Canis lupus familiaris: one gene and its partners. The protein of the gene in region 1 purifies or fractionates together with the protein of each later gene. This does not show direct contact. Links are inferred from orthologs where the notes say so. Each region holds a gene or a part of one and is shown on either strand. Other genes may lie near its edges.

Region 1 (8,181 bases):
TTATTTAAGTTTCCAAAGGCTCTTCTTGTTTGGGCCATCAGGAATATGCCCTTATCCTACTTTACTGCTAATGCTGCTGCCTTGAATCAGAATAACTGAAACTCAGCCCTGATGTTCCAATCTGCAAAAATGGGGCTGGCACTCCTTTACCAAGGGCCTATCACGCATGCAGTAAGCTTTCCTCAAGACTTGTTGGCAGACCATCCAAACTTTCTGCTAGTTGCCCTGGCCTATCATTAACAACCTTTGCAAATGTAAAAGTCATAAATAAGCCTTACATGCATTTTTGAAAAATGGAAATGAAATAACATGCTTCCCTTTTAAAAAGTATTTTTTAGGGTTCTAGGATTTTGTTGTTGTTGCTGTTTGTTTGTTTGTTTTTTAGTTTAATTTAGGAAGTTAAAAATGCATCCTGTATATCTCCATTATTTTCTATAATGTCAGGATATATTGGATTAGAAAATCAAGTTTTTTAGACAACAGCACTGATTTACATGTTTTCAATATTATAATTTGAACTTTTAGCAGACTGGATTGTTTATTTTTAGGTTATAATAAATAAGCTAAAACTTAGAATATTAGAGTAAAACAAAGTTTTAATGCTTTCTTGAATTTTCAGTGTCAAATAGACACATAAAATATTAATTTTCCCAATTAGGCTGATAGAAAAAGACAAAATATACATGGAATAAAAAAGATTTTTGTTTTGTCACTTGTCATTTCATGTATTGTATGAGGGGGAAATTTTGGGTTTGGATCTGGGTTGCAGTTCTGATTCAAGCTCTGATTTTAAGATGTGTGACCTTGAAATCATACATGTATCAATTTTCTTATTTCTTAAGAATGGATTTGAAATGCTAGAGCTGGTTGCCTGTGAGAATCACTGAAGATCTGAAACAAAGAACCTAAAAGAAAACAATAACAAGGGCATTCTCTTCAGGTGCATTTGAATGGTCAGGTTTGAGAATTATATGCTTTTCAACTAAATTATAAACTCCTTGAGGACCAAAACTCTATGTTAACTAACTAAAATGCTTAGGATATAGTGTTGCCTAGTGCCTAACAATCAAAAACTGAATTGGGTTTCATTTTACATGCTAATATAGTCAGCAGTTTCTGTTTCTTTTGATGCTTTCAGGGACTTATTATTTTAAAGATTGATTTTATTTATTTATTTATTTATTTATTTATTATTATTATTTATTTATTTATGAGAGAGCAGCAGAGAGGGAGAGAGAGAGGGAGGAGGAAAGAATCTCAAGCACACTCCGCACTGATTGAGAAGCCTGACATAGGGCTTGACCCCATGACCCTGCCATCATGACCTGAGCCATAACCAAGAGTCCCCATGCTTAACTGAGCCACCCAGGTGGCCCTTCAGGGACTTCTAAATATTGAATATTTTCACTTAATAAGAACTGCCTGGCAATAAAGACTAGTGTAGGTAAGGAATGAACTAAACCAGGGTTGCCCAAAAGTGCCTGGAATTTTTATGGGCTTAGAAATAACAGAGAAGCATATAGGCAAACATAATTTCAAAAGCAATTGTTAAGCCCAATGATACAAGTATGTACAAAATGATTCTGTTGGAGCAGTGAACTGGGCAGATTTGTGACTATAATTCTTCATAATTGTAAGGTGCTTAACAATTTATAAATTGCATTCACCTACATCACCTCATTTATCCTTACAAAAATCTTAGGTCAAATATTACAACCTCATTTGTAAAAAATGAGACAAAGACAAACGACAACTCAGAGGTCAAATGACAGAATTTCAGAATTGGAAATAACCTCTATATTGTGGCTTCCAAATTTCAGTCATTTGCAAACCACTTTTATTATTTTGCTATATCTTACTACCACTCATTATTGTTTACCTAATATTTTTGATTACTTTGGCACACTTTAACACTTTTTCAGTTGTCCTACGAAAATTTTTAAAATCATGGGCTTTCTAATAAACATTAATTAAATGTAAATTCAAAAAAATTATTGGTACTTCAGGACTCACTCTTCAAAACCATACATGAAACTCTTACTTAAAACAACATCTGGATAATCAGTCCTTCAGTTTCTGTTTGCATGTCTGCAGTAATGTTAGGCAAGTTAGTTTCTCCATTACTTAGTTTCCTCATCTTTAAAATGAAGGTTAAGTGCAGAGAGAGAGAAAATAAATTGGGGATAATTGTATAACCCTATAGAATGTTTATGTGGATAAATAGGGTAATATATGTAAAGCTATTAGCAGACTTCTTTTTGGCAGAAGGAGAAGCAGGCTCCATGCAGGGAGCCCGACGTGGGACTCGATTCCGGGTCTCCAGGATCAGGCCCTGGGCTGAAGGTGGTGCTAAACCGCTGAGCCACCCAGGCTGCCCCAGAGTTCTTGACATGTGGTAAGCTCATAAATGCTACCTGTTGTTAGCTCTGGATTGCTTTCCGTCCCCTAGTAGTCTCATAATCGGAAAATTCTTCCTCTGGACGCCCGGGTGGCTCAGCGGTTTAGCGCCGCTTTCAGCCCGGGGCGCGATCCTGGAGACCTGGGATCGAGTCCCACGTTGGGCTCCCTGCATGGAGCCTGCTTCTCCCTCTGCCTGTGTCTCTGCCTCTCTCTCTCTCTCTGTGTTTCTCATGAATAGATTAAAAAAAAAAATCTTAAAAAAAAATAAAGTCCTTTCTTTTTTTTCTAGAGGTTTTATTTTTTTAAATAATCTCTACACCCAACATGAAACTGAAACTCACAACCCTGAGATCCAGAGTGACAGGCTCCACCAACTGAGCCAGCCAGGCACCTTTGGGAAGTTCTTTCTTTCCTTTTTTTTTTTTTTTGGGGGGGGGGGGAGGGGGAGTTCTTTCTTAAATTAAACTCTGAACATCTCTCCTATCACTTTCCTCACTTTAAACGGCTAAAAGTGGAAATGAGAACTTCAAAGTGGCATGTAGACGACGACTATCATTATTGTTAGGCAGGTAGTGAAACGATAGGTGGGGGCTAAATCCTTGGGCTTTAGAGGTTTTTTTTTTTTTTTTTTTTTTTTGCAGAGATCCCGAGGCTGAGGAAGAACAGCCCTAACCCTGGACAAGACTGTCTATTAGACCACGCCTTTCGTCAGGCCGAAGTCCAGAGCCAGACGGAGAGTCCCAGCTTCGCAGGTCCCTTCTGGGACAGACAGTGCCTTTCCTAGAGTTCTCGCGTCCTCCCCCCCCACCCCCCCAGACTAGGTTGGGTTTCCTCCACTACACTCTTAGCGGGAAGTCACGTCAGTCCGCTTTACATACTGTCTTTTCAACGCTTGTTTCCGTCGCTTAGTGCCTGGCCACCTATGAGCTAGGGTTTCGCCTCACCGAAACGGGGTGACCAAGAGCAAGTACCTCCGTAAAGACAGGCGGCCGCCGTGGTCAGAGCAACAAGATTTGCAAGCTAACTGAAGCGTCTCGGGAAATGTAGTACCTGAACTGTCCTCGTCGCCTCATTGCCGGTGTCCGTCGCACCCGGAAGACTACAGTTCCCAGCATGCTCAGCTCAGGAAAGGATGACCCGGGTTGGCAGCTCCACGTGACCACCCACTATGGCTTCCTTGTGTCCTGGCCAGCTGTCTGGTGGTTCGGCGTGATTTGTTAGTGCTTTGCTGTAGGGTACCACTTTCACGATTTCGACATGCAAAAAATCAAATCTCTTATGACCCGACAGGTAAGTCTCGGAGGCTGAAACAAAGGCCTCTTTCGTCTCTGCTGGTGGAGGAGCCTAGATAGTCTGTTTCTGGGCCGGGGCGGGTGGAGACCTAGGGTATGGCTGGTGGCAGGTGTCAGGGGCACTGGGAAGTCGGGGGCACCCTGGAAAACTCTCCTGAGCCACCGTGATTGGAGCCCTGCTCAGGCGGGCTGTCGCGTTCCTTTAGATAAGGTCAATGAATGAGTTTCAATGAGGGCTATCTTTGTCTCCCTTCCTTTCCTTTTGGCATCTTTCCGGTGACAGCCCCAGACCCTGCAAGCCTCCCTTTATCTAAGCTGTGTGTCGTCTGTGAGCAGATGGCCTGGGTAGGGAGGTGAGGTCTGTGTAATAGAGATGACCTGGAAAGAGTGGAAAAAACGGATGAGTTGAAGACAGAATTGCTAGCTTCATGACTTTGGGCAAGTTCCCAAACCTTGTAGCATAAATTTCCAGATGTGAGCATGAGAAATAATTATTCTTGTTAACCTTATCTTACAGTTCTGACAGTCACAAGTAAGTTAATGTATGTGAAATGATACTTTAAAAAATCTTTGTTATGGCAAAATAGTGGCCTTTTATTTTTTATTTTTTTATTGTCACAATGATAATTCATGAATAAAAGCTTTGGCTGTTTTTGTTTAATTATTCATATATGTTAGGGACTTCAAATAATGTCTCAGTTTCCTTCAAGGAAGAAAAGGCAGAATTTCCTTTTACATTCTTATTGGTTATGAGTTGGTTTTAGAAGTCAATTATTTATTCAACCCTAATATTTCACCAGAATTGGCCATTCTTTATTATCTTTATATGAGAGAAGTAGAATGTAAAGTTTTGAATCAGAGAATTTTGAGAACTCTGGAGAATATGGAGAGTAGTCATTTAGTGAAAGGTTCATTTGCGAGTTTTGTTGTTGTTGATTAGAAGGAGATTACAAATTCCAAATTAAACTCTTATTTGAAAGGTAATCTGAATAGGTTACAAATGGTAGATATCTTGTGAAGAATACATGAGTCCTACATGATTGTTTTACACCTTTTAAATGATATTGTTAATGTCATGAAAATAAAATTTTACAGATCTATGAATAATAAAGTATTTCAGTAAGTGGCGATCCCTCACATTTGTTGAGTACTGGTGTTATGTACGGTTCATACCACTTATTACTTGAGAATATTTGGGTCCTGCTTCATTTTGCAGTAGCTATGTGACCTTGAGGAAGTCACCAGACTTTTTAGAGCTTTTGTTTTCACATCTTTAAAATAGGAATAACAACATGTATCTCATGGGTTCAGCCTGGTGGTGATGTTCATATAATATGATGAAGATTAAGAGAAATAGGAGTTAACATATCTTCTGGGTCTTATCAAGGAAGTGCTTGATCACAGAGGTCATCTCAGCAGCTGTGCGGATGCTGGAAAGCAGGAAAGCTGGAAACAGGCTGTTGCAGTAACAACAATAGATGATTTCAGACTGACTTTTGGTATCTGTTTGATTTGGAGGGGCATCTTTTTGATTTTTAAAACAATATACACTTTTGAACATTTTACCACTACTACCCCCTAACCTGACTTTAGAATGCTGAATTTGGACTTTTGTACAACAGTAAAGTTTGGTCTTCTCTCATGTTGCACACTATGCATTTCTGTGTAATCATCACTGTACAGCAACTTTGGTGTTTTGTTGTTTTTAACCTTATTTTGTGATAATGAACAGTAAGAAAAAATACACAAGTCCAGATACCAGTGATAATACGTTTTTATCTTCTAAATGTAGTGGAATTGTTGTGAAAATGGTGACTCTTCAGCCTCAATCCGTTGCTTATTGGACTTGAGCGGGTCAAATCATTGCTTAATTGGTATAGAAAAAAAACTAAAGAACACATACAAAAAGCTGGAACTATACTGTGTAAAATGTGAGGTAAAATTAGGAGTTTTATACAGATTTTTGAAAAGATTTTATTTATTTATTTAGAGAGAGAGCATGCGAGAGCAAGAGCGCAGGCAGGGGGCAAAACAGAAGAAGAGGGAAAGAATCTCAAGTAGACTCCATGCTGAGTGCAGAGCCTGACATCGGGCTTGTTCTCAGGATTCCAAGATCATGACCTGAGCTGAAACAAAGAGTTGGGCACTTAACTGACTGAGCCACCCAGACGGCCCTACACAGATTTTATTTTATTTTATTGTTTTCCTACACAGATTTTAAGAGTCACCCTTATTATTTATGACTTGACTTCCACATATTTAATCATAACTAATACACATTTCATGAATCTTTGAGATATGAAAGTAGGGTGCTGCCTGGAGTTACACTGGAGATTTTTAATTAGTACTGTTTATCATTGGGTTAAATATAGTAGTATTACAAATAAATATACACAAAGATGTTTCTTTTTTGTGAGGCTAAAGAATATATTGATAGTATCATTAAAGTGAAGAGATATGAAGGGTCTATGAAACTTAGGTATTTTGGCATTTCAGCTGTAAGGATCTTGGGTTTGGAAAAGAGTGAGAGGGTGGGTTTTGTTAGCACTCTTTATTTAGATGAGGTCTGTTGTTCAGCTTTCTCTATTATGCTGGCCTCTGTTCTTTCAATTCATTCAACAAATGTTTACGGATCACTATGTGACAGGCACCATTCTAAGTTTGGGGGTGCAGCAGTGAACAAAACAGACAAGTGCTCAGGCAGACGTAGTGATTAATGTTTGGGAGGAATAGAGGATAGGGAGGCCTGGGAGTTGGCAGTTTGGGATCACTTATAATTTTAGATAGTGTGGCCATGAAAGGCCTCATTGAGAAGGTGACGTTTGAGTTAAAAACCCAAAGGACATGAGGAAGTGAACCATGTGGTTATTTGTGAAGAAGCATTCTGGGTGAAAGGAAGAGCAAATGCAGAGGCCTTCAGGCAGGAGCATGGCTGAGCAACATCCAGAGGCCAGTGTGGCTGACATAAAGCGAGTGAAAACAGTAGGAGATGAGGTCTGGATGAGGTCAGAGAGCTAAGGGCAGGAAGCAAGATCACCTAGGACCTCATCTTGACCTCATCTCCTATTACTTTTTCTAAAAGCAAAGCCATGCTTCTATTTTGATTGAAATAGCAAGCAGAGGATTGATGTCATTTTACGTATATGGACTTCAGAAAGATCTTTCTGGCCTTTTAAAAGAATAGATTGAAGAGGGAAAAAGAGCAAAAACAGGGAGAACAATAAGGATGCTATTGCAGTAATCCAAATGAGAGACAGTATGGGCCTTAACAGAGTGTTAGTGGTAGAAGGGTTGAGAAGAGATTGATGGTGGGTACACTGTAGATATAGAGTTAACATGATTTCTTGACAAATCGGACTTGGGCTGTGAGAGAAGGAGAAGCATCAAGGTTGATTCCAGATGGCTTGGCCTCAGCAATTGGAATTGCCATTTAATGAAGTGGGTAAGATTGAGGAAGGAACAGATTCAGGGAATGCAGAAAGGTTTTAGACTTGCTCATTTGAAAGCCTCTTTTGAATATTTAAGTGACAAGATAAAGTAGGCACTTGGCTAAGAGTCTGAATTTCTGAGGACAAACGCAGGGATATAGATAAAAATTTGGGACTTATGAATGCATATACGGTGTAGAACTGGCTAAGATCACCAATGGAATGAGTGTAGTTATAAAACAGGAGTCCAAAGTTGGAGCTTTTGAGATTTCAATGTTGAAAGATGAGGGGAAGGAATGCCTGGGTTGCTCAGTGGTTAAGCGTCTGCCTTCAGGTCAGGTATGATCCCGTGGTCCTGGGATCAAGTCCCACATCGGGCTCTCTGCATGGAGCCTCCTTCTCCCTCTGCCTATGTCTCTGCCTCTCCCTCTCTCTGTCTCTCATGAACAAATAAATAAAATCTTAAAAAAAAGATAAGGGGAAGAGGCAGGTTAAGGTGGATCTAGTGAGGCAGATTGAGGAGCAGCCAGTGGGGTAAAACTGCAGCCATCTCAAAGACCACCTCACCTGTCCCATATCAGATCCTCAATAAATATTTGTTGGATACATGGTGGATAAAGAGAACAACTAAGTAGAGTGAAGTCCAGAAGCCAAGTAAAGAATTTAAAAGAGGAGGGAGTGATCATCTGTGCTAAATGCTGAAGATGAATGACAGAAGATGAGGATGAGCCTTTGGACTGAGCAGCATAGAGGTTATCAGGTACCTGACAACAGCACTTTTCATGAAGTGATGGGGAGGAAGGCCTGTTTAGAGTGGGTTTGAGAGGAATTGAGGACTAAGTATAACCGCTATGTTGAATTTTACTGAAAAGAGGAGGAAGAAATCACCTCACTTGATTTTTGATCTTTGGGACATTAAGTTGCTGGTCTCGTAAATGGAAATAGAAGATTGATGTAGATGTAACAGAAGTAGTCTGAAGTGTTAATCTGCTTTGGCCAAAGAAATAAAGTGCAGAGGCAAGTATTATGTATGCTGAATTTTGTATAAATTTAAATGGGGG
Region 2 (6,880 bases), on another chromosome or scaffold:
GCGGTGTGTGGGCGGCGGGGAAGCCTTTGGGTCCTGCCTCCAGCTGAGTGCTGCGCCTGTGCCAAGTCATCTCCTTTGCCCTCTCCCGTGCCCTTGCCCTCCCAGACACCATCCGGAAGATGAAGAACGACTTTCGGAAGATGGAAGACGAAATGGACCGGCTGGCCACCAACATGGCGGTGATCACGGACTTCAGCGCGCGCATCAGCGCCACCCTGCAGGACCGCCACGAGCGCATCACCAAGCTGGCAGGTGGGCCCGGCCCCGGAAGCAGGGGCCGGAGCTGGCCACCCCGGGCCCTGGGGCCCTCACCACCTGCCTCCATCCCCCAGGGGTCCACGCGCTGCTGCGGAAGCTGCAGTTCCTCTTCGAGCTGCCCTCGTGCCTCACCAAGTGTGTGGAGCTGGGCGCCTACGGGCAGGCGGTGCGCTACCAGGGCCGCGCGCGGGCCGTGCTGCAGCAGTACCAGCACCTGCCCTCCTTCCGCGCCATCCAGGACGACTGCCAGGTGATCACGGCTCGCCTGGCTCAGCAGCTGCGGCAGCGCTTCAGGTGTGGCCCCGGCCCTCACCCACCCCGCCGGGGTCCTGGGCCTGCCAGTCTGCTGTCTGCCCCACTCCCCACCCCCGCCCCCGCCCCCACCCCCACCCCCACCCCCACCCAGAAGTCTGTGGGCCTTCCCTTCACCGCCACCTCCACCTTTCAGGGAGGGCGGCTCTGGAGCCCCAGAGCAGGCAGAGTGCGTGGAGCTGCTGCTGGCCCTAGGCGAGCCTGCGGAGGAGTTGTGTGACGAGTTCCTGGCCAACGCCAGAGGGCGGCTGGAGGCCGAGCTGCGGAGCCTGGAGGCAGAGCTGGGGCCCTCCCCTCCCGCTCCCGACGTCTTAGAGTTCACCGATCACGGGGGAAGTGGCTTCGTGGGTGGCCTCTGCCAAGTGGCCTCTGCCTACCAGGAGCTGTTTGCAGCCCAGGGCGCGGCGGGTGCCGAGAAGCTCACAGCCTTCGCCCAGGAGCTGGGTGGCCGCTACTTTGCGCTAGTAGAGCGGCGGCTGGCTCAGGAGCAGGGTAGCGGGGACAACTCGCTGCTGGTGCGGGCACTGGACCGCTTCCATCGGCGCCTGCGGGCGCCTGGGGCTCTGCTGGCCGCTGCGGGGCTGGCTGAGGCTGCCACGGAGATTGTGGAGCGAGTGGCCCGGGAGCGCCTAGGCCACCACCTGCAGGGCCTGCGGGCTGCCTTCCTGGGTTGCCTGACCGATGTGAGGCAGGCATTGGCTGCACCTCGTCTGGCTGGAAAGGAAGGCCCAGGCCTGGCGGAGTTGCTGGCCAATGTGGCCAGTTCCATCCTGAGCCACATCAAAGCCTCCCTGGCAGCTGTGCACCTCTTCACCGCCAAGGAGGTGTCTTTCTCCAACAAGCCTTACTTCCGGGTATGACCTATCTTTGGGCCTCCCATTCCCCCCTCCCCCTTAATCCTGGGCATTCTTTTATTCATCCTACAGTTTGGCAGCTATCAGAGCACACAGTCCTTGCTCAGGCACTCTGGATGTGGTTTCAGGCTGTCATGAGGAAGGCTGTGAGGGCATCTGCAAGTGGGATCCCCAGTGCTGGCTTTGTTCCTTTGCACTCCCTCCTCCAAGCAAGGGAGCTGCTCTTGGGTCCTGGAATGCAGGATAAAGCTGTCCTTTGGAGAGGGTCTAGGGCATTTAGAAATAGAGGGTGGCTAGCAGCCCATGCCTGGAAGAGGGGACCTGCTATGTATCTGTGACCCTCCTCCTCACAGGGCGAGTTCTGCAGCCAAGGTGTTCGTGAGGGCCTCATCGTGGGCTTCATCCGCTCCATGTGCCAGACAGCTCAGAGCTTTTGTGACAGCCCTGGGGAGAAGGGGGGTGCCACACCGCCTGCTCTGCTCCTGCTACTCTCCCGCCTTTGCTTGGACTATGAGACAGCCACCATCTCCTACATCCTCACCCTCACCGATGAACAGTTTCTCGTGCAGGTGAACCACTAGCTCATAGCAGGGTAGGGGATGGTGGTACTGGGAATCCCGGAGGCTGGGCTGAGCTGTCATGGTCAGACCCAGGCCAGCTGCTTATGCCCTGCCCAGCCTCTGCCTTGCCCAGCCTGTGCCCAGCTCCTGCTTGGCAGTGGCCCTTCCAGCACTCACTGTCTCTCTGTCCTCTGCACCCCTGGCTCAGGACCAGTCTCCAGTGACACCTGTAAGCACACTGTGTGCAGAGGCCAGGGAGACAGCACGGCGGTTATTGACCCACTATGTGAAGGTGCAGGGCCTGGTCATATCACAGATGCTGCGCAAGAGTGTCGAGACACGGGACTGGCTCAGTACCCTGGAGCCCCGGAATGTGCGTGCTGTCATGAAGCGGGTGGTGGAGGACACGACGGCTATTGACGTGCAGGTGCTACCCTCGGGCTGGCCAGGGGGTCCTGATGCAGGCTGTGGGTGTGAGGGGAGCAGTCCTCGGAGGATCAAGACACCAGTGCCTGTGGCTTGTTCCTCCTCAGCCCTGGCTCAAGGCATTGTTGCCCCCATTTTACTTACAATGAGGCTGAGGTCTAGAGTCAACCAGGGAATCAGGGCCGGGCTAGCACTGAAGTTTGGGCCTCAGTGCGAAGTTTCATGTCCCACCTTTGCCCATTCCACCAGACCTATAAATAGTGACCAGGTACCAAGTCCCCATTACCAGGTCCCCACTATCCTGTGATTCTTGTCACAAATGGGTTTGTAATTTAGCATGTCCTTGGGCCTCACCCTGGGCACCTGATGGGCTTGGAGGCTCCCCTTGCTCTGGCCTCCTTGCAGTGCTTTCTTCCACTACCAGGTGGGTCTTCTGTATGAAGAGGGTGTCCGCAAGGCTCAGAGCAGTGACTCCAGCAAAAGGACCTTCTCTGTGTATAGCAGCTCTCGCCAGCAGGGCCGCTATGCACCCAGCTATACACCCAGGTCTGGCTGGCCAGGGGAACCCCAGGGGGAATGGACAAAGGAGGATGGAGGTCCAGGGTGGGTTCTGATTGCTTGTCTTCCCCCCCCATCCAGTGCCCCAATGGACACTAATCTCTTGAGCAACATCCAGAAACTGTTCTCTGAACGTATTGATGTGTTCAGCCCCGTGGAGTTCAACAAGGTCTGAAGTCCCCCATGACACCAACTTCCAGGGGCCCTTGAGAAGGTTGGCTGAAGCAGTCCCACAGAGTCAGGAAGCCTAGGACTCTGTCCTCACCCAGGCTCTGCCTCTGTGGGCTGTTTCTAGGAGTAAATGGTCAGCCGGAACCCCACCATCACCGTATGCCATGGCCCTCTGCCCTGACCTTGGTGTGTTCCCAGCCTGGGTCTGGATGTAGATCTAGAATGCCTCTTTTGCTCTTGTCCTCGTCATCAGAGTAGTCCTGGGTCCTCCCCAAGGATTCCTGTCCATACCATAGTCTCTGCCCCAACCCAGCCCATACGCCAGGACTTGGTGGTCTTTTTTTTTTTTAAGTTAGTTGTTACTTATTTATTCATGAGACACACAGAGAGGTAGAGACATAGGCAGAGGGAGAAGCAGGCTCCCTGTAGGGAGCCCAATGCAGATGTGGGACTCGATCCCAGGATCACAACTTGAGCCAAGGCAGAAGCTCAACTACTTAGCCACCCAAGCGATTGGGACCTGGCGTTCTTTTGTCTCTGACTCAGCAAGCCTCTCTGCTCCCCTATGTCAGTGCTGACTCCCATCTCTGCTTCTGATTGTTAGGCCTTCTCCCTCTGTTCTCCAGATAATGGTGCCAGCATTGTATCTATGGGAGTCCTGGGACTTGTACACCCCATTGCAGCTCCTGGCCTCTTACTCTCTGTGTAGCCCCTGCCCAGAACTGGATGCCTTCAGGGACCCAGTGCCCCCTCCCAGCACCTGCTGGCCCAGAGCTATATTCCTGTTCCTTGCCCACAGGTCTCGGTGCTGACTGGCATCATCAAGATCAGCCTGAAGACGCTGCTGGAGTGTGTGCGGTTGCGCACCTTTGGTCGCTTCGGCTTGCAGCAGGTGCAGGTGGACTGTCACTTCCTGCAGCTCTACCTGTGGCGCTTCGTGGCGGACGAGGAGCTTGTGCACCTGCTGTTGGATGAAGTGGTGGCCTCAGCTGCCCTGCGCTGCCCAGACCCAGTGCCCATGGAACCCAGTGTTGTCGAGGTCATCTGCGAGCGTGGCTAGGCCAGCCGCTGCCATGCACGCACCCGCTTGCGCCGTTGGTCGCCCCAGCCTCCCCATCCCCTGGTCTCCCGCCCGCTGGCCTTTCCCCTCCGGCCTCCAGACCCGCCAATAAAGACGTGTTGTTCTCTTCCTCTGGCTCCCAGGGGCGGGGCTTGCTGGGGTTGAGGTTGTGAGGAGGCTCCCGAGGTGCCTGCGTCAGGCCCACCCCCCAGAGCCGATTGGCTGGATTGCTGGGCCCATGATGGGCCGGGGGTGGGTCCACTTAGAGATCTCCGGATCGAGTGGGTAGTAGTCTGAGCTCAGACCGAGCAGGTTCCAGTGCTGGTCTGATCCGCATCACCAAGCTCGTGTCCCGGGGGATGAGGTGGACTGTGTTTCTTTGACCGACTGTTGTGTACCCCCACCCCCGGTGGAGCGGAAACCATGGCCTCTCCTCAGGGATCCCGGGCTCCGCTGGAATTCGGGGGACCCCTGGGTAATGGGGAGAGGGTGGAATCTGGGGTCAGGCTCAGCGAAGGCGGGTGAACCGCAGGCGGCGGGGGTGGGGAGGGATACTGAGGAGCAGGATCTGAGAATGGAAGCCTGTGAATGGTCTCCCGAGGCCGAGAGATCGGGGGTGAGGCGGGAGGCGCTGAGTGGAGGATTGTACCGAGAGCAGCAGGAAGGTCTTTGGGGGAGCGTGGAGGCGGGGGCCAGGATGGAAGTCCGGGCAGGGACTGAGGGCGGAGACCGGGACATGGAGGGCAGGGGGAACGCCGAAGGGGCCCTGGAGACCACGGGGCGCCTGGTGAGGGGTTCGGAGGGCAGTTGCGGAGCGGACGCCCGATGCGATCGTCCCCGGCCCCCAGGCGCGGCGGCGCTGATGCTGCTGCTCCCTGCCACCATGTTCCACCTGCTCTTGGTGGTCCGCTCGGGCCCCGCGCGCCTCCTGGGCCCACCCCCCTACCTGCCGGGACTCCAAGTGCTGTGGAGCCCGAGGATGCTACTGCTGTGGCTCACCTGGCTCGGCCTGCAAGCGGCTCTCTACCTATTGCCTGCGCGCAAGGTGCAGACTCGGCTCGCGGGGCTCGCGGGGGGGAGCAGGCCGAGGGAGGCGGCTCCGCCAGACGAAGACACTTTCACCCCTTATCGGACCCCCTTTGTGCCTGCAGGTTGCTGAGGGACAGGAACTGAAGGACAAGAGTCGTCTGCTCTATCCCATTAACGGTGCTTGGGGGGATGGATCCTTTCGCTGGAGTCGTGGCTGGGGGTGGAGGTCTGGGCCCAGTGGAGATTAGCCCCCAACCCCAAGCTCCGTTAGATGCCTATTTTACGCTATGTGCCCAGGGTAGCCTTGGGGGATCTCACTTTCCCTCTTCACATCTTTTGTTTCTACATCCCTACCCACAGCATTTACTACTACTCTATGCACCAGAACAGTGGTGACCCACTGAAAGCCAAGGGCAAGATCCTTGACCTCCCTGGGCTTTGGACTGTGTGTGTTATGGAGGGGGGTGCAGTGGAGTGGAAGGGCAGAGGTGTAGGGACGCAGCCCCCAGGACTCATTGTGTACTGCAATTCAGGCTTCCAGGCCCTGATGCTGACAGCCCTGTTGGTGGGCTTGGCAGTGTTGGCAGGTCTGCCTCTGGGGGCGCTCCCCGAAATGCTCCTGCCCTTGGCATTTGCGGCCACCTTCACCACCTTCATTTTCAGCCTCTTTCTCTATCTGAAGGCCCTGGTGGCCCCTGCCTCGGCCCTGGCACCTGGGGGGAACTCAGGTGAGAGGGGTTCCAGGAGGGTGCAGACAGGAGTAGATGGGGGTGCTCGCTTGAATCTTCAGCCTCCATTATTCTCCAGGCAATCCCATTTACGACTTCTTCCTGGGACGGGAGCTCAACCCGCGCGTCTGGTCCTTTGACTTCAAATATTTCTGTGAACTGCGGCCTGGCCTCATCGGCTGGGTATGCTGGGCATGGCTACATGGGCCAGAAGGAGGGGGGTGGGATGAGTAAGTAGTGCTTGGGCAGGGCACTATTGCACAGATGTAAACCATTAATCATTCATTCATCCGACAAATATTTGTTGAGTCCACTCTGTGCCCTGGGCACTGCTCTAGGTACAAGGAGACAAAAGAGAAAAAAGTTACAGGAAAGCATAGTAAAAAAAAAATCTGTTCTCAACCTACTTTCTATTGGGAAAGATAGACAAAAATAAAATATATATAGCATGGCAGGGGATGCTAAGTGCTAGGAAGAAAAAGTATGGAGGGAGTTAGGTGAACAGGTGCAACTTTAAATAAATCAGCTCAAAATCTATTTTGAGGACAGGAGAGCTCATGCTATGCTGCCCGCTCGTTCTAGCAGTGCAGAACCTGAGACAGATCACTGGGCATAGCAAGCTGTCCATCACTAGTGGCCTTGATGTCATGCCAACTGTGGTTTTGGGTTAACACCACCCAGGCTGGACTGTGGTCAAGATTTCCCAAGGGTCTCTTGGGCAAGGTGCTCATGTCATCCTAGAAACTAGAGGTGAGAGGAAGCCAAGTATCCACCATGGATCTGCATCCTGGCCTCTGAGGTGATTTCCCCATGTGTGAAATGGGATCAGACCTTCCTGTGAAGGTTCTTGTGAGGATCAGAAGTGGTCGTATTAATGACAGCACCAAACCCACTGATATCAGAATGGAGGCGGCCTCTGGCTAA
Region 3 (7,022 bases), on another chromosome or scaffold:
GTAAAGAACAAGCCCTGGATATGTGGCAGTCACATTATTATCACTCAGGACAGGTGGACACGAGGCTCAAAGACAGCTTGGATCCTAGCCCTGGAGTAGACTGGTCCAAAAGCCTACAGATCCCACCCTGAGTGGAGTGAGATGAGATTTGGGATGGGGAGGTTGAAGGAGGGAAAGAGAAGTCTCAAAAGGGTGTGTGTGTGTGTGTGTGTGTGTGTGTAAAATAGACACTGTTAATTGTTAAACCCCTGTGTGTGCAGTGGGATACCAACTGAGGTGAAGTGGAAGAGGGCAGGACCACAGAGAGAAGTGTTTTGTCACTAACACTGTTATAGAATCGTTGGTGCATGATGAGAACAATAAAAAGTGAATTTCAGTATTATTTTAACATTTTCTTTTTTTTTAATTTTTTTAAATGTTTATTTATTTATGATTGTCACAGAGAGAGAAAGAGAGAGAGGCAGAGACACAGGCAGAGGGAGAAGCAGGCTCCATGCACCAGAAGCTCGATGTGGGATTCGATCCCGGGTCTCCAGGATCGCGCCCTGGGCCAAAGGCAGGCGCCAAAACGCTGCACCACCCAGGGATCCCTATTTTAACATTTTCTACAGACAACACATCCTCTTGCTCCTGCACTGGAGCAACCTCTCCCTCTGCTTGCTGTCAGTAAGCTGCAGCCCAGGTGACCCATGTGAATAAACAGTCCATCTCCTCTACCAGATTGGGAGTCCTTATAGGAAGCCATGTCAAGTGAGGATTATTTTGCACGTGATGGCATAGTTCCGAGCAGCAAAAATAAAAAATAAATTTAAAAATGTGTGATATATAATAACATTCAGTGTAGGTCTAACCACTATCAAAACTATAAAGCAATGATGAGCACACATGACATTTTAAGATTTCTGCAACTGGAAGGTGATGTGATATAAAAGCATCTGATTTCTATTGATGACAGTCACAGATACTGCTAATTCTGCTGTGGTTTGTTGTCTACACTTTTCATTGGAGGAAATGCTACATTTCCATTAGAGGTTCGTGAAAATAATACGTAATTTTTTCTAATTCTCAATCACAGAGCCTTTAGGATCTTGGTTAAGAGTCCTGCATGAGGGACACCTGAGTGGCTCAGTGGCTAACTGTCTGCCTTCGGCTCAGGGCGTGATCCCGGGGTCCTGGGATGGAGGATTCTGCATCCGGCTCCCCGCAGGGAGCCTGCTTCTCCCTCTGCCTATGTCTCTGCCTCTCTCTGTGTCTCTCATGAATAAATTAAATATTTTTTTAAATGCTTCTAAAAACAGCTTAAAGGGGGTGTGGAGTGGGTGGTTAGGCTGAAGGAAAACTCTCTCCGTCCTTTCAGAGAGATGGGAGCCCTGGGGGAACCTTCGCAGCCACCTGCCGCGAGACCAAGCAGCCCGGAACAACTCCATCTCCTGGTCGATGCTGCCCCCTGGAGGTCTGTGTGGGTACCGCGGCTCCCTTTCACCCCATTGCGACTTCGCGGGTCCTTGAGAGTCCGTTGGAGATCTCCCGGGTGCCCGGGGAGATGGATGTCCCCAAACACTGTGAGCTACAATAAAATGGGAATGCCTTCCGGCTCCCTAATCAAGAGCTTCCTCAGACTCCGGCACCGCCCCTCAGCCCTGCAAAATGACGCGCTTACCGGTTGTTTGAATATTTATTTGCATTCGGGAATGGACAGGAGTGGCCTGTACCGAGTAAAGTCAAAGTGCCTGCCAGCGCAGCCCTTCTCCCACGGGAGCGTGAGAGGCTTTCCACGAAGGCGTCTATCTGGGAGGTAGTCTCCCTCGTGGGGGATCCGGAGACCTTTGCTCTGGGAAACTGCTCTTTGTCAAAGCCGCCCGTGCCGCCTCCGTCCCGAGTCCCAAACCCTGAGCGAACCTTCTCCTGAGGCTGGAGTCGGGTCATACAGGAGAACTGGCTCCCCCAAGGTTGAAAGTAGAAGCAGGGGAGGGTGTAGGTGGGCGGGAGAGGCAGGCAGGAGGACAGAAGGTCCCGGGGCGAGCTGCGGCCCTCGAAGCCCAGCGCACCTCCGCCTAGAGCGCGGCGGGCCTCGGGGAACGGCTGGGGCCGAGTCAGGCGCGGTAACGCTGGAAGGGCGCCCGGAGCCGAGGGAGCGGCGGCGCCGGGAGGGGTCGGCTGAGGACACTGCCCCGGCCCGCCCCTGAGGCGTCTGGGCCAATCAGGAGCCGCCCATGCCCCCCGCCGCCCGACACCCGGCGGCCTCGGGCGCCAAGGCTCCCCAAACTGAGGACGCCGCTCGGCGGTCGGCCTCCCAGTCGCAGCGCGGTTCCCGAGGGAGGGGGAAGGCGCCCTCCCGCCACGCCCCCGCCTCGCGGCAGCCAATCGCAAGAGCCCGCCCGCCGGGACCGCCCTGGCCCCGCCCCACCGCCGCCGCCGGCCTAGAGGCACCCTCTCCTCCACCCCGCCCCAGGCCCGGCTCGCGTCCAGAGAGCCCGCGCCGGGGGTGGAATTCTTTTTCCTTCAGTAGCTCGCTGGGACTTGGGAAGCAATGCTCGGGCCATGTGGGAGAAGGAAACAGAGGAAACATCCCCAAATTACCATTTTCTCCCGACTGCCTGCGCCTTTCCCGTTAGGACTAAAAAGGCGCCCCCGTGTCTCTTCTGTCTAGAGTCTGAGTTCAAACGAGGTGTAGGGGTGCAGTAGGAAGCAAACACAGAAATAGATGAAACAGGCACGCTGCAAACCTGTCCCACCCCCGCCCTGGTGTGAGTGCTACAGCCCTCCAGCCCCCCATGCAAGTTAAGCCCCTGTTAGGGAATCAAGGTAGCCTGTGGAACAGTGCCTGAGGCTGTACAACCGTGTTCCCAGCCCTTGAGGGATCTGCCCTTTTTTTTTTTTTTTTGAGGTATTTGCCATTTTTAACCAGGGGCCACCTTCCTCCACCAGGCTGGTTACTCACGACACAGTCCCCTCCCTAAAACCAACGCTGCTACTTCTTTGGCCTGAAGCAGCTAGAGATTAGAAGTTACTATCTGTACCCCTTCTTCTGGACACCCACCAGAAGGGAGATAAGCCCAGGAGAGAGCCAGAACAAAAAAGTGATCCTGGAGCAGAGGTGGGGGCCACTTGAAGGCCCCAGGAAGAAGGAGGAAGGAAATGAGAGAAGAGTATTATGTCATATTAAATATTTATTGTTTTCTGCAGACTGACCTTGGAGTAACTCTCAAGCCAGGAGAGGTCTTGTTAGTGTTCAAGTTGCTGAGATCTTAGGTCAAAAAGCTACAGAAAAGAAATCACTGAGTGAAAGGGGAAAAAAAAAAATCAATGACTTGCCTTGCCACCAATTCCAAGAGTTGAGGCGTTGCACCTCAGGCCATGGTGACAAGAGTTGAGACTGAAACAGTAAAGATTTTACTGGGGGAAGAGAACTTGGGTGTGGGGGAAGGGGTGGTGAAATCAGGGAAATGATAAAGGCTTTTGGAAGCCCGGGGGGAGTGGTCCTGGGAACCCAAAAACAAGGTGATCCAGCTTATTCTGATGAGGCAGGGTGAGGCATGTCAAGGACCTGGGAGGCAGGTGGACAACTGTTAAGGAAACCCCAGATGAAGAAGAGTCTGGGATGGGGTACGGAAGTCCATGGAGAAGGCGGGTGGATCCCAGGGTCTGGCGCATCAAAAGTTGGGCTTGTGCTTCTTGAGCTCCACCATAAGGTGATGAATGTTGATAAGCTCTGCCCGGGCAGGGAGAGCTCGGAGCTGGGGCTGAGAGAGTACCCGGTGGAAGCGATGATAGAGCTGGATCAGCTGGGTCAAAGCTCCCTGGTCAGAGAAAGTCATGAAAGATCAGGCTGTGGAGTGGTGCTAGAGATGGTATCAGGAATCAGGCTAGGGCTCATCCAGAACTTTGGGCATGCTGGTAGTTGAAGGTCATGGGTCACCTGGATGATGCTGAGCCCAGAGAAAACAACTAATGATAGGGGTTGGAGGGAAGGGAGGCCTGGAAGCTGCAAGTTACCTGGATGATACTGGTTCCATTTCTGAAGTTGGTGAAACTCCGCATTACATCCTGACTCAGAGACTCCACTGATGATTTCCAGGAACTACCAAAGCCACGGATCAGTTGAGTAACCCGGGCTGATGGCAGGAGCAAAGAGAGAGGGTCTCAGAAAAGGACTTGGCTAGGTGATCTTTAACCCTTACGTCCTCCCCAAGGCACAGCCCTCTTCCACATCCAATCTCATTTTCCTGCTCTACCCCCTCCTCATGGAATCTGCCTCCTCTCATTTTTCTTTTCCACTCCCCTTACCATTAACTCCACCACCTGACCACATCATCTGCATACCTTCTTCCCCTCGAAGTCGCTCAGCCTGTCCACGTTCAATTAAAGCCTCGGCTTCCTTCACAAATGCCACCAGACCCCCAAAAGGGGGAGACAACAACTCTTCAATGAATTCCTGTAGAAATAAGCACACACACATACACATAGTCAAATGTCCTGGTATCAAGACATTTTCCCACTTCTGGCATCATGAATGACTAGATCCTCAGAATATTGCCAGAGCAAATTACATACTTTAAGACACCAATGGTCCCAAAACACTAAACTTGAACTGGGGAGCAAAGCACAAGTAATTGGGATCAGAGCCAGAACCAGAAAGGTAGGAAGCTGGGAGAGGCAAGGCTGCCAGAAGACAAATGGCGATGGCAACTCTGCTATCTGGAATCTGAGCCTGATGCCAGACTCAAGTGGAGAAGCGGAGCCTGGGCCTCTTGTGAGAGCCTCAAAGGGGTGCTGACATAAATCGAGGTGGATTAGGTCTTTCAGTAATTTGCCTACCGTAAACGCAGAGGCAAATCCTCTTGACAGAAAAATATCCTCAATCTCATTTTAGGCCCATATGACTCCCCCTGATTAAGACAGAGCAATGAACTCAAAGATCGTCAGACACATATGAAAGGAAACTACCATGAGAAACAGTATAAACAATAAGCAATGGACTTAGACTGGTATACCAAAGACTGCCAACATCAGAACTGTCAGATACGGGCAGCCCTGGTGGCACTGCGGTTTGGCGCCGCCTGCAGTCTGGGGTGTGATCCTGGAGACCTGGGATCGAGTCCCACATCGGGCTCCCGGCATGGAGCCTGCTTCTCCCTCTCCCTCTGCCTGTGTCTCTGCCTCTCTCTCTGTGTCTATGAATAAATAAATAAAATCTTTAAAAAAAAACTGTCATATACACAGCAGTTGTGAGTTCTGTATGAAACATTCAAAGAATTAAAAATATAGACACAAAGATGACGACTCAACAAGATGAGGAATGGACAGACTTGAAACAAAATGAAACTTTCAAGAGATGACTTAAAAATTAAAAGTCTTTAATTTTAAAAAGTCAACAGGTTATACAGCAGATTAGAAATACCTGAAGAATGATACAGCAAATTGAATTTTATAATTGAAGAAATGACTTAAAATGTAGCACAGATGAGATGGGAAATTTTGAGACATTGAGGGTTATGGAAATCTAGTTCATGGATGTAGGCAGTGATCACTGATGGCTATTGACAGAAAAGGAACCAAGAAACCATTATGTGCCCCCAATGGAAGTACATACCACTAGCTCTCAACTATCCTTGGGGCAGGGGGGGGCGGGGGGGGTGGGCAACTAACTGCAAACTGATCAAGACTTTTCATCTAACTACACATTTATGGAAAAAAAGAAAAAAGTCTAGCCATACCATGGAATGCAATCTGCAAAATCTAGACTGTATTCTGTTATTCTAACATGACAGATGACTCAGTTACTTGGTTTCTTCCACAGATAAATTGCAGAGGAGGTAAGCAAAGATGGAAGGGCACTCTATAGATCACAAAGAGACATATGTATGTACCATACATGGATGTTAATTTGAACTATAAAAACCATTTATGACTGAGAAAATCTGAACACTAGCTCTTTTAAGATCATTTTTTTAAAGTGTGATAATATATTGTGGGTTTTCTTTTTTTAAAGATTTTATTTATTCATGAGAGACACACAGAAAGAGAGAGGCGGAGACACAGGCAGAGGGAGAAGCAGGTTCCATGCAAAGAGCCTGACGTGGGACTCGATCCCAGGTCTCCAGGATCACACCCTGGGCTGAAGGCGGCGCTAAACTGCTGAGCCACTGGGGCTACCTATATTGTGTTTTTAAAAACACATCCTGACACAGATGAAATGATGATGTATAAGATTTAATCCAAAATAACGGGGGCCGGGGGGAATCCCTGGGTGGCTCAGCGGTTTGGCGCCTGCCTTCGGTCCAGGCATGATCCTGGACTCCAGGATCGAGTCCTATATGGGGCTCCCTGCATGGAGCATGCTCCTCCCTGTGGGGAGCCTGCTTCTCCCTCTGCCTATGTCTCTGCCTCTCTCTCTCTTTCTCTCTCTCTCTGTGTGTCTATCACGAATAAATAAATAAAATCTGGGGATCCCTGGGTGGTGCAGCGGTTTGGCGCCTGCCTTTGGCCCAGGGCGCGATCCTGGAGACCCGGGATCAAATCCCACGTCGGGCTCCCGGTGCATGGAGCCTGCTTCTCCCTCTGCCTGTGTCTCTGCCTCTCTCTCTCTCACTGTGTGCCTATCATAAATAAATAAAAATAAAAATAAATAAATAAATAAATAAATAAATAAATAAATAAATAAATAAAATCTTTAAAAAAAAAATAACTGGGGGGCAGGCACGGAAGGATGAGCAATGGGTGCTGATAGAAAGGAATAAAACTGTCCCCAAGTACTTACTGATTGAAGATCTGTGATGGTACTTGGGGGTGCGACCCCTGGGAGAGGACCCCAGGGGATCCACTATGCTATTAGTATGTGCATTTGAAATCTCCCACAATAAAAAGTTAAAATTGGGGTGCCTGGCTGGTTGAGTCAGTAGAGCATGTGACTCTTGATCTTGGGATTGTGAGTTCAAGTCCCATGTTGGGTGTAGAGATTGCTTAAAAATAAAATCTTTAGGGGATTCCTGGGTGGCGCAGCGGTTTAGCGCCTGCCTTTG
Region 4 (7,057 bases), on another chromosome or scaffold:
CTCTGTCCACGTCTCCCGACACCAGCAGCACTGTACTCCTGGCCTGCCACCGACCTTCTGCTTCCCTCTCTCCGTGTTCTAGAACTCGGTCAGCTCTCTCGAGTCTGTCCCCAGCCCTCATGGCTGTCACAGTCCCGCCGACTTGCTCTCTTCTCGAAGTGCCAAGTCACGTCTGTGACAGCCATGAAGCAGCATTGCCTCTGCAGCTTGCAGGGATCACAGGTGTGCTCCTGGAGAAGCCTGGGCCCTGGGAGAGGCACGGGGGTGGAAGGTAGCAGGCCCCCCGGCACCCACCATCAAACCCAGGAGCCTCAGCCTGCACGGCCGTGGCCCAACTCGCAGTCCCCCGAGGCCGGCGTGCCCTGGGGAACGGGAGTTGGGCCAGTCCGTGGGTGGAGTTGTCCTGACCGCTGCACGTCCTGTGCGTGCCTCTCGCTCTCTCCCGCAGCCAGATATACTGCATAGAGAACGCCCACGGGCAGCTGGTGCGGGACCTGGACTTCAACCCCAACAAGCAGTACTACCTAGCCAGCTGCGGGGACGACTGCAAGGTCAAGTTCTGGGACACCCGAAATGTCACCGAGCCCGTCAAGACCCTGGAGGAGCACTCCCACTGGTACGGACTTCTTTGCATGCTGGTCCAGGGTAGGGGGGTCTTAGAATTTATTTTGCTAATTCCTTTCCCATTTGGAAAGGCACAGACCAGCTTAGTTTGTGCTGCTGTGAATCATTCAATCAACCCAGTTTTATTTTTCCTAAAGAAACACTAATCCCAAATCCGAATGTTTATGATTTATAAACATAGGAAAAGAAGAAAAAACATTGCATCCTGTGTTCTCTTGAAATAGTACCAGTTCTAATATGCACACGCAGCGTGCACAGATGTTCAGGAGGCATTGTTTGCCAGGCTGGGGAGCTGGAGAGCGCCCTGATGCGCGTTGGTAGCGGACGGGTTAAGTCAGGCTGTGATACCCACGCCGTGAGGAGGAGATGGGGACAGCTCTGCGGGGGCGGACGGTGCCCGAGAGCCGTCCTTGCTCACTATTTCGTGTTTACCATGTGCCAGGTACTTGGTGCTGAGTTAGTGAGGGGTCTGCTCCAGACCTGCGTGCCCGTACAGGCTAGCTTTCTTTCCAGTGAGACGTGTGTGTGTGTGTAAGTGCAGGCTTGTGTGCACGTGTGCTTGTGAGGGCGTGAGCATGCTGGTTTGTGCGTGGGCGTGTGTCCCTGTTCTTATGTGCATGTGAACACGTGTGTGTGTAAGAAAGTCCTAGAGGAGTAGGAACTGAAGTACCGTCAGGAGCGCTTGCTCAGGCCAGGGTGGGCACCTCACAGGACAGGTGACTTCTTCGGGTCTGTGTCCCTGATTTCTTTGAATTACTTACCAGAAACCATGTTGTTTCTGGGATCGGGACATTTAAAAACCCGGCCTGCCAGGGTACGGTTCTGCCCAAGTCGGTAGGTTTCTGCGATTGCCGCAGCCCGAGGAGAGGCGCCTGCACCCCCACCCCCGCCCCCACCCCCGGGCCTCCGCTCAGCTCGCTGCGCTCCCTGGGAGTGTGTGCGGTGGCCCAAACCCAGAGCGCACCCCGGCCCCGCGGCAGCTGGTGCTGGAAGTCGCCCTGGGGTTTGGCTCCATGCGCTGGGTCCTCTCTAATGTGTCCTTTGCTTCTGGGGCAGTTGTTGCCGTTAGGACTTCGGAAAGCCCAGGGGGCGTTTTGAGCAGCAGGCCCTCCTCCCCCTGTGAGGTTTGCACGTCCGCTTGCTCTCGTGTCTGGGTGCCGGGCCTTAAAGGAAGGCTGGAGAGGAGCACGCAGTGGGCCTGGCCCTCTGCTGGGAACGTCCTCGTGTCAGGGCAGGCCCGGCCAGCCCGAGGGTGCCCCGTCCAGGAAGGCCCGCCTGCCGCTGGAACTGCCTCCTTGCCTCCCAGGGTGTGGAACGTCCGCTACAACCACTCGCACGACCAGCTTGTGCTCACGGGCAGCAGCGACAGCAGAGTCATCCTGACCAACATGGTGTCCATCTCCTCCGAGCCCTTCGGCCACCTGGTGGACGACGATGACCTGAGTGACCAGGAGGAGCGCCGTCCGGAGGAGAAGTAAGGGCGCGTGCTCCTGGCGGAGGGGGCTCCTCCTCCTACCTCGCGGTCCAGGTGGCTCTCGCCAGAAGCGGTCCGGATGGGGGTCAGGGGGCCCTGGTTCTGGGGACGTCGGCACCGCGGCGGGGGCATGGGGGTTGCATTAGGGGAGCTCACGCTGTGTTGCGTCGACCCACTCAGTGTCTGTCCACTCTCGTCGGACGCCGTACGGGAGAGGGGAGGGGCGGTCACTCGTGGTTAGATGTGCCCTTCGGTGGCAGTGAGGGCTTGGTAGTCCCTGGAGCGACAGGTCATCGTCGACACCCTCTCCGTGGGCTTGGGTCTGAGACGTGTGCTTCCGTCGTTGGCCGGCGGCCCTCCCCGTGGCGGGGCACGGACTCCAGGTGAGCACCTTCGGCCCCAGCCCATTGCAGCCTGAGGTTCCTCAGGGAACGTGGGAGACCTCGGTGCGTGTCCCAGCAGTCGCGCCTCTTGGACGCGCGGTCTCCCATCGCAGCTGCGTCTGCTCGGGGGCTAGCTCTTCAGCCGGTGTGCGCCCCCGAGACCGCTGGATTCCTGGGGGCCCGCTCCTGGTTGGTGCAGAGCCGGGGTGCCCCAGGCCAGGCGCGACGGAGTGTGGCTGTGGCTCCTGGGCGCCGGGGCGAGGGGGGGCAGCCGTGTCGTCTGTCAGCGACATGGAAGGGGACTGTTGTGTTCTGAGTAGACGCCTGCTGGTGAGGGGGAGCTGCGTGCAGCGGGGTCAGCCCCGGGTGGGGGAACGGTTGAAGCCGACAGGCAGCAGGCCTCCCCCATCCGTTCTGAGGTTCTTCCCCCACCTCAGCTGAGCCCCGCTTCACTTTTGAGAAGACATCTCTGTCCTCGTTTGGTTTCCGTTCAAGCACGTGGATCTGCAGTCTGGGAACACGGTTGCGGCCGTCTTGGTGCAAACACCTGCCGACCGCCGTGCCGTCGGGGTCATGGGCTCTGGCTCCTCGCCGGGGGGCAGCTGGCGCCGTGTGGCCCAGGGGTGCTGCCCTCCACACAGGTGGCCTCAGGGACGCGCCTGAGGTGGGGAGGCTGGCAGGTGCGGTGACACCCCCGTGTCCCCATGGTCCTGCTCCCATGGTCTGTCCGCGTGACCTGCCAAACTCCGGAGAACGAATCCTCAAGAGGATCCTCACGTGGTGTCTGTAACGCAGCCCCAGTGGGCACGGCGGGTCCACGTCGCGGGAGGAGGTCGATGGCACGCAGAGCTGGACACGGAGGGGCCTGCGCAGGGTCCGGGAGCACAGAGTGGGGACCGAGTAGATGCTTTCTGTGAGACGGGAACAAAGTGCCACGGGGAGAAATGGCTCCTGCCCTCGGGGTGGGTCTTGGTGTGGCCGCTCGGGGGACAGCCTGTGATGGCCCGTCAGTGCCCAGGGGCCAGGTCTGCGCTCCTCCCATCATGCGCGGTGTCACATGTGATGCACCATCGGGTCAGGGTTCCTGGGGAAGGAGCGCGGTCACTCCAGTTTAAAGGGAGGTGACACGGGAGTCCCGGCCGAGCACGCTACGAAGCCTGAGGCCAGGCCCAGGAGCCCCTTCCTGCCCCGCCGGCGGGACCCGCTGTCCTGGGGTCACGCTGGCCGTCCCCAGGGCCCTTTCTGCTTCTCGTCACTCTTTATTCAGCCCTCGTGGGTGTTTGTGGTCACCACCCCCTGCCCCCCGAACCTCGGCGTCCCCGGGAGGTTCCCGACGCCTGCTCTTCACCCCTACGCCGCGGTGGAGGCCCGTGCCCCGCGGCCCTGTGAGCGTCTGTGTGCAGGTGCCGGAGCAGCCTGGCGGCCCAGCGCGCCTGCCCTGGTTCCTCCCATCGCCCGCCCGGTGCGGGGAGTGAGGCCCCGGCCCCTGCAGGCCGCCCCCGCCTCGCTCACGCGTGTCTCTGGTGCCTTGCAGGAGTCAGGAGCCGCCGCAGGACAGCGTCATCGCCACCTACGAGGAGCACGAGGACAGCGTGTATGCCGTGGACTGGTCCTCCGCCGACCCCTGGCTGTTTGCCTCCCTGAGTTACGACGGGAGGCTCGTCATCAACAGGGTGCCCCGGGCGCTCAAGTATCACATACTGCTCTAGGCCCGTCCTGATGCACCTCCTGGCAGGTCCCTGAACACGTGCAGCTCTTTGGAGGTCGCTTTCCAGCGGGTCCCTGTGGGGAGAACCAGGTCGCCTGCCTCTCAGGCGGGCGGGTGGGCGTTAACACCAGGGCGCTCCTGCCGACTGCACAGCCCACCCTGTGCAACGTCACCCCTCCCGGAGGCGGGCACCGTCCTCACCTGTGCCGGGCGTGAGCCGCCCTTCCCGGCGTCCACGTCTTCCTGGCTTCGGCTTTCTCTAATCTGTTTAAGGGTGTTGGGAGTTTCATTAGAAAGAAAAAAATCTTTGTTTATATAACATTAACTCATTTTTCTCTTGAGATTGAAAATAAAACAAGCAAGGCTGTGCTACACGGAGTCCTGGCTCGTTCTTTCAAGACTCTGCCCCACGCACCTTGTCGCCTGGTCTCTGTGCATGTTCCGTGTCCCCGCCCAGAGGGGCGCTGACGGGCAGACGGGCCCCTGCACCCTGCATCCTGGGCTGACCCGACTATGCGCGGACCTCGGCAGTGACCAGGTGGCCCGTCAGCCTGGGCACCCAGTCCCGCGTGCTGCTCCCTACTGGGTCCTGCTCATGTTATGCCGATGGCATTGGACTCTTGTCCCTGGGAGCTGCATCCACGCGTCCGGTCACCCAGCAGCACGCTCCCACTCGGGAAATCCCACGTCGAGGTGTGACCCCCACTGCCAGGTGACCCTGAACCCAGCACATGGACTCTAGCCTGGGCCTCCTCTGTGGGCCCAGGGGAAGTGGGGGGAGGAGGACAGGTGGGCCAGAGGGAGGAGGGGGGAGGGGAGGACAGGTGAGCCCCCGGGGGGAGGGGAGGGGGAAGGGAGGTGGGCCCCAGGGGGAGGGGAGGACACGTGGGTCAGAGGGAGGGGGGAGGGGAGGTGGGCCCTGCGGGGAGGGGAGCGTGCTTCGCCTGGCTCAGGCACTTGGTGCATGGGCATCTCAGACGAAGCCCACAAGCTTTCCCTGGGTCGCTGTGTTCTGAGTGTGCCCCGGTCGGCGGGAGGGAGGGCCGAGGGACAGATGCAGCTTCCGGGGGGGGGGACAAGAAGCACCCACGAGCTGCCCGTAGCACCTGGAACGCTCTGGGAGGAAATGTGCAGATCGGGGCAGCGCGGCTCCTGTGCTCCCTGGACTCAGGCCCCGCCGTCCCGTGGGCCGAGTGTGTTGCTAGTGCACAGGACATGTGGGCAGCGGCACGTGTGCGCTGTTAGTACCTCGGGCTCTGGGGAGTTGACCCAGGAGGCTGCCGCGTGAGCCGTGGAGCCGCAGGCCCAGCTGTGGGGCAGGCACCCTGGGTGGGCCGATCACACTCACGACGGCCGGGGCTATGACACGCGGTGGCTCCGTGGTCCCCGGACCCAGGGCGCCTCCGGGCTGTTGTGAGTGTGCTCGGCCCACCCAGGGTGCCCGCCCCAGTCCACTCTGTGTGTCCACTGCTGCCCCAGGCACCACCACCCAGCCCGTCCCGCTTGGGCCTTTGTGTGCAACGGGGGAGGAGCCAGCGACCCGGAGCTCTGCCAGCTGTGTGCGGCCCTGCACCTTAGCCCGGCCCGGTCGCCCAGTTAGCGCAGCCAGGGCCGCCGCCTCTCGGGCCCCCCTGGGCCTGACCGCCGCAGGGTGTGCGGGTGGCCACCTTGTCCTGGTCACCGCAGAGGAGCCGCAGGTCAGGTTTGCGTGGAAGCGGCGGTGCGCATGCACGTGTTTCTGTCCGGGAGACACCCCGGCCGTGGGAAGCGCTCATGTGTTTCACGCTTTGTCACACCGAGCAGGACAGCTGCGGGGCCGCGAGCGCATGGGGGGGCGTCCCTGGTGCAGCCCACCCGCGGGTCCAGGCACAAGCCGGCCACACCCCTGGGCTCACCCCGTCGCCAACTCCAGAATGCCTCTGGGTGACCTTGCAGCGGTCCCCGCCTCCCCAGCCTGGGAGCACCCTGTGCACGGGGCGGGCGTCAGCCTCGGGGACCCATCTGTCGCCCACCCCCTGAGCATCGCACGGTGCCTGGAATGGGACGGCTGAGCACGGGCCGGGGTTGGGCCCCTGGATGAGCGGGAGCCTGCGGGTCATGGCCTCTGTGGGGACACACGGGGAGGGGGACGGCATAGGAGGCCCCCAGCCGGGGCCACACTCAGTCGAGCCTTCACTCCGCTCCTGCTTCCCACAGGCCTGGTGCTCCGGCTCTGCGGCCTGACCTGGGCGGCAGCCTCAGGCCCGCTCAGCGGGTGTCCTGCTCCAGGCACCTCTGAGCACAGACAGACGGGCACCAAGCTGTGGTCAGGCAGGGGACGTCCTCCGGGCGCCGGTCCCCATGGGGCTGGGCGCCCAGCAGAGCGGTGTCCTTGTGGCTGCGCCCTGCCTCCCGGGGGACCAGCGTGTCGGGGCAGGATGACGGAGTGACACCGGCCGGGCCGGGGCGGGCAGTACTGGGCATCGTCGTGAGCTCGCTGCCCACCCACTGTGGACACGTGAGAAACCCGCGTGCAAGATGTGGGGAAGCGAGGGTGTGCAGGGCTGACTCTGCGGGGTGACGCGCGAGTCTCCCTGTGCGGGCGCCTGGGGGCAGGGGCATCCTGGGCCACCCCCACCCGGTCCTCTGCTGGCGGGCTCACCGGGCCTCTGTGACTCTGTGACACGGCCTAGACCTGCTGCCGCCTGCCGGGCCCGGGACCCAGACAGAGGCCCTGAGCTTGTCCGTGCCACAGGGGCGCGGAGTTCAGGGCGTGTCCACCCTGGTGAACAGCAGAGTGTGCTTTGCTGCAGCTGAGCCCCCGGGGGGCACCAGACTATCGTCCCTCACGGCCAGGTGTCCTGGGCGGTGGCCACTGGGCGCCCAGGA

Evidence for each region.
Region 2: the proteins of VPS50 (region 1) and VPS51 purify together in Homo sapiens (affinity purification with mass spectrometry; 7 studies listed by BioGRID and IntAct, counting the BioPlex papers as one, with this or other methods). This does not show direct contact. The link is inferred for Canis lupus familiaris from reciprocal best matches to the Homo sapiens genes VPS50 and VPS51.
Region 3: the proteins of VPS50 (region 1) and VPS52 purify together in Homo sapiens (affinity purification with mass spectrometry; 4 studies listed by BioGRID and IntAct, counting the BioPlex papers as one, with this or other methods). This does not show direct contact. The link is inferred for Canis lupus familiaris from reciprocal best matches to the Homo sapiens genes VPS50 and VPS52.
Region 4: the proteins of VPS50 (region 1) and EIPR1 purify together in Homo sapiens (affinity purification with mass spectrometry; 4 studies listed by BioGRID and IntAct, counting the BioPlex papers as one, with this or other methods). This does not show direct contact. The link is inferred for Canis lupus familiaris from reciprocal best matches to the Homo sapiens genes VPS50 and EIPR1.

The regions. Positions count from the first base shown.
Region 1 is NC_049235.1:18,692,693-18,700,873, forward strand, and holds the start of VPS50 (syndetin), read left to right. Parts: upstream 1-3,532; 5' UTR 3,533-3,657; coding exon 3,658-3,690; intron 3,691-8,181.
Region 2 is NC_049239.1:52,587,250-52,594,129, reverse strand, and holds the end of VPS51 (vacuolar protein sorting-associated protein 51 homolog), read left to right. Parts: intron 1-105; coding exon 106-252; intron 253-332; coding exon 333-552; intron 553-706; coding exon 707-1,424; intron 1,425-1,777; coding exon 1,778-1,993; intron 1,994-2,192; coding exon 2,193-2,411; intron 2,412-2,834; coding exon 2,835-2,956; intron 2,957-3,049; coding exon 3,050-3,137; intron 3,138-3,938; coding exon 3,939-4,199; 3' UTR 4,200-4,329; downstream 4,330-6,880. Other genes in the region: delta(14)-sterol reductase TM7SF2, read left to right, coding at 4,623-4,674, 5,048-5,244, 5,351-5,405, 5,762-5,956, 6,036-6,139. UniProt on the Homo sapiens protein: Acts as a component of the GARP complex that is involved in retrograde transport from early and late endosomes to the trans-Golgi network (TGN).
Region 3 is NC_049233.1:2,849,425-2,856,446, forward strand, and holds the end of VPS52 (vacuolar protein sorting-associated protein 52 homolog), read right to left. Parts: intron 4,436-7,022; coding exon 4,324-4,435; intron 4,116-4,323; coding exon 3,997-4,115; intron 3,801-3,996; coding exon 3,654-3,800; 3' UTR 3,148-3,653; downstream 1-3,147. UniProt on the Homo sapiens protein: Acts as a component of the GARP complex that is involved in retrograde transport from early and late endosomes to the trans-Golgi network (TGN).
Region 4 is NC_049238.1:1,868,914-1,875,970, reverse strand, and holds the end of EIPR1 (EARP and GARP complex-interacting protein 1), read left to right. Parts: intron 1-448; coding exon 449-616; intron 617-1,930; coding exon 1,931-2,098; intron 2,099-4,015; coding exon 4,016-4,190; 3' UTR 4,191-4,561; downstream 4,562-7,057. UniProt on the Homo sapiens protein: Acts as a component of endosomal retrieval machinery that is involved in protein transport from early endosomes to either recycling endosomes or the trans-Golgi network.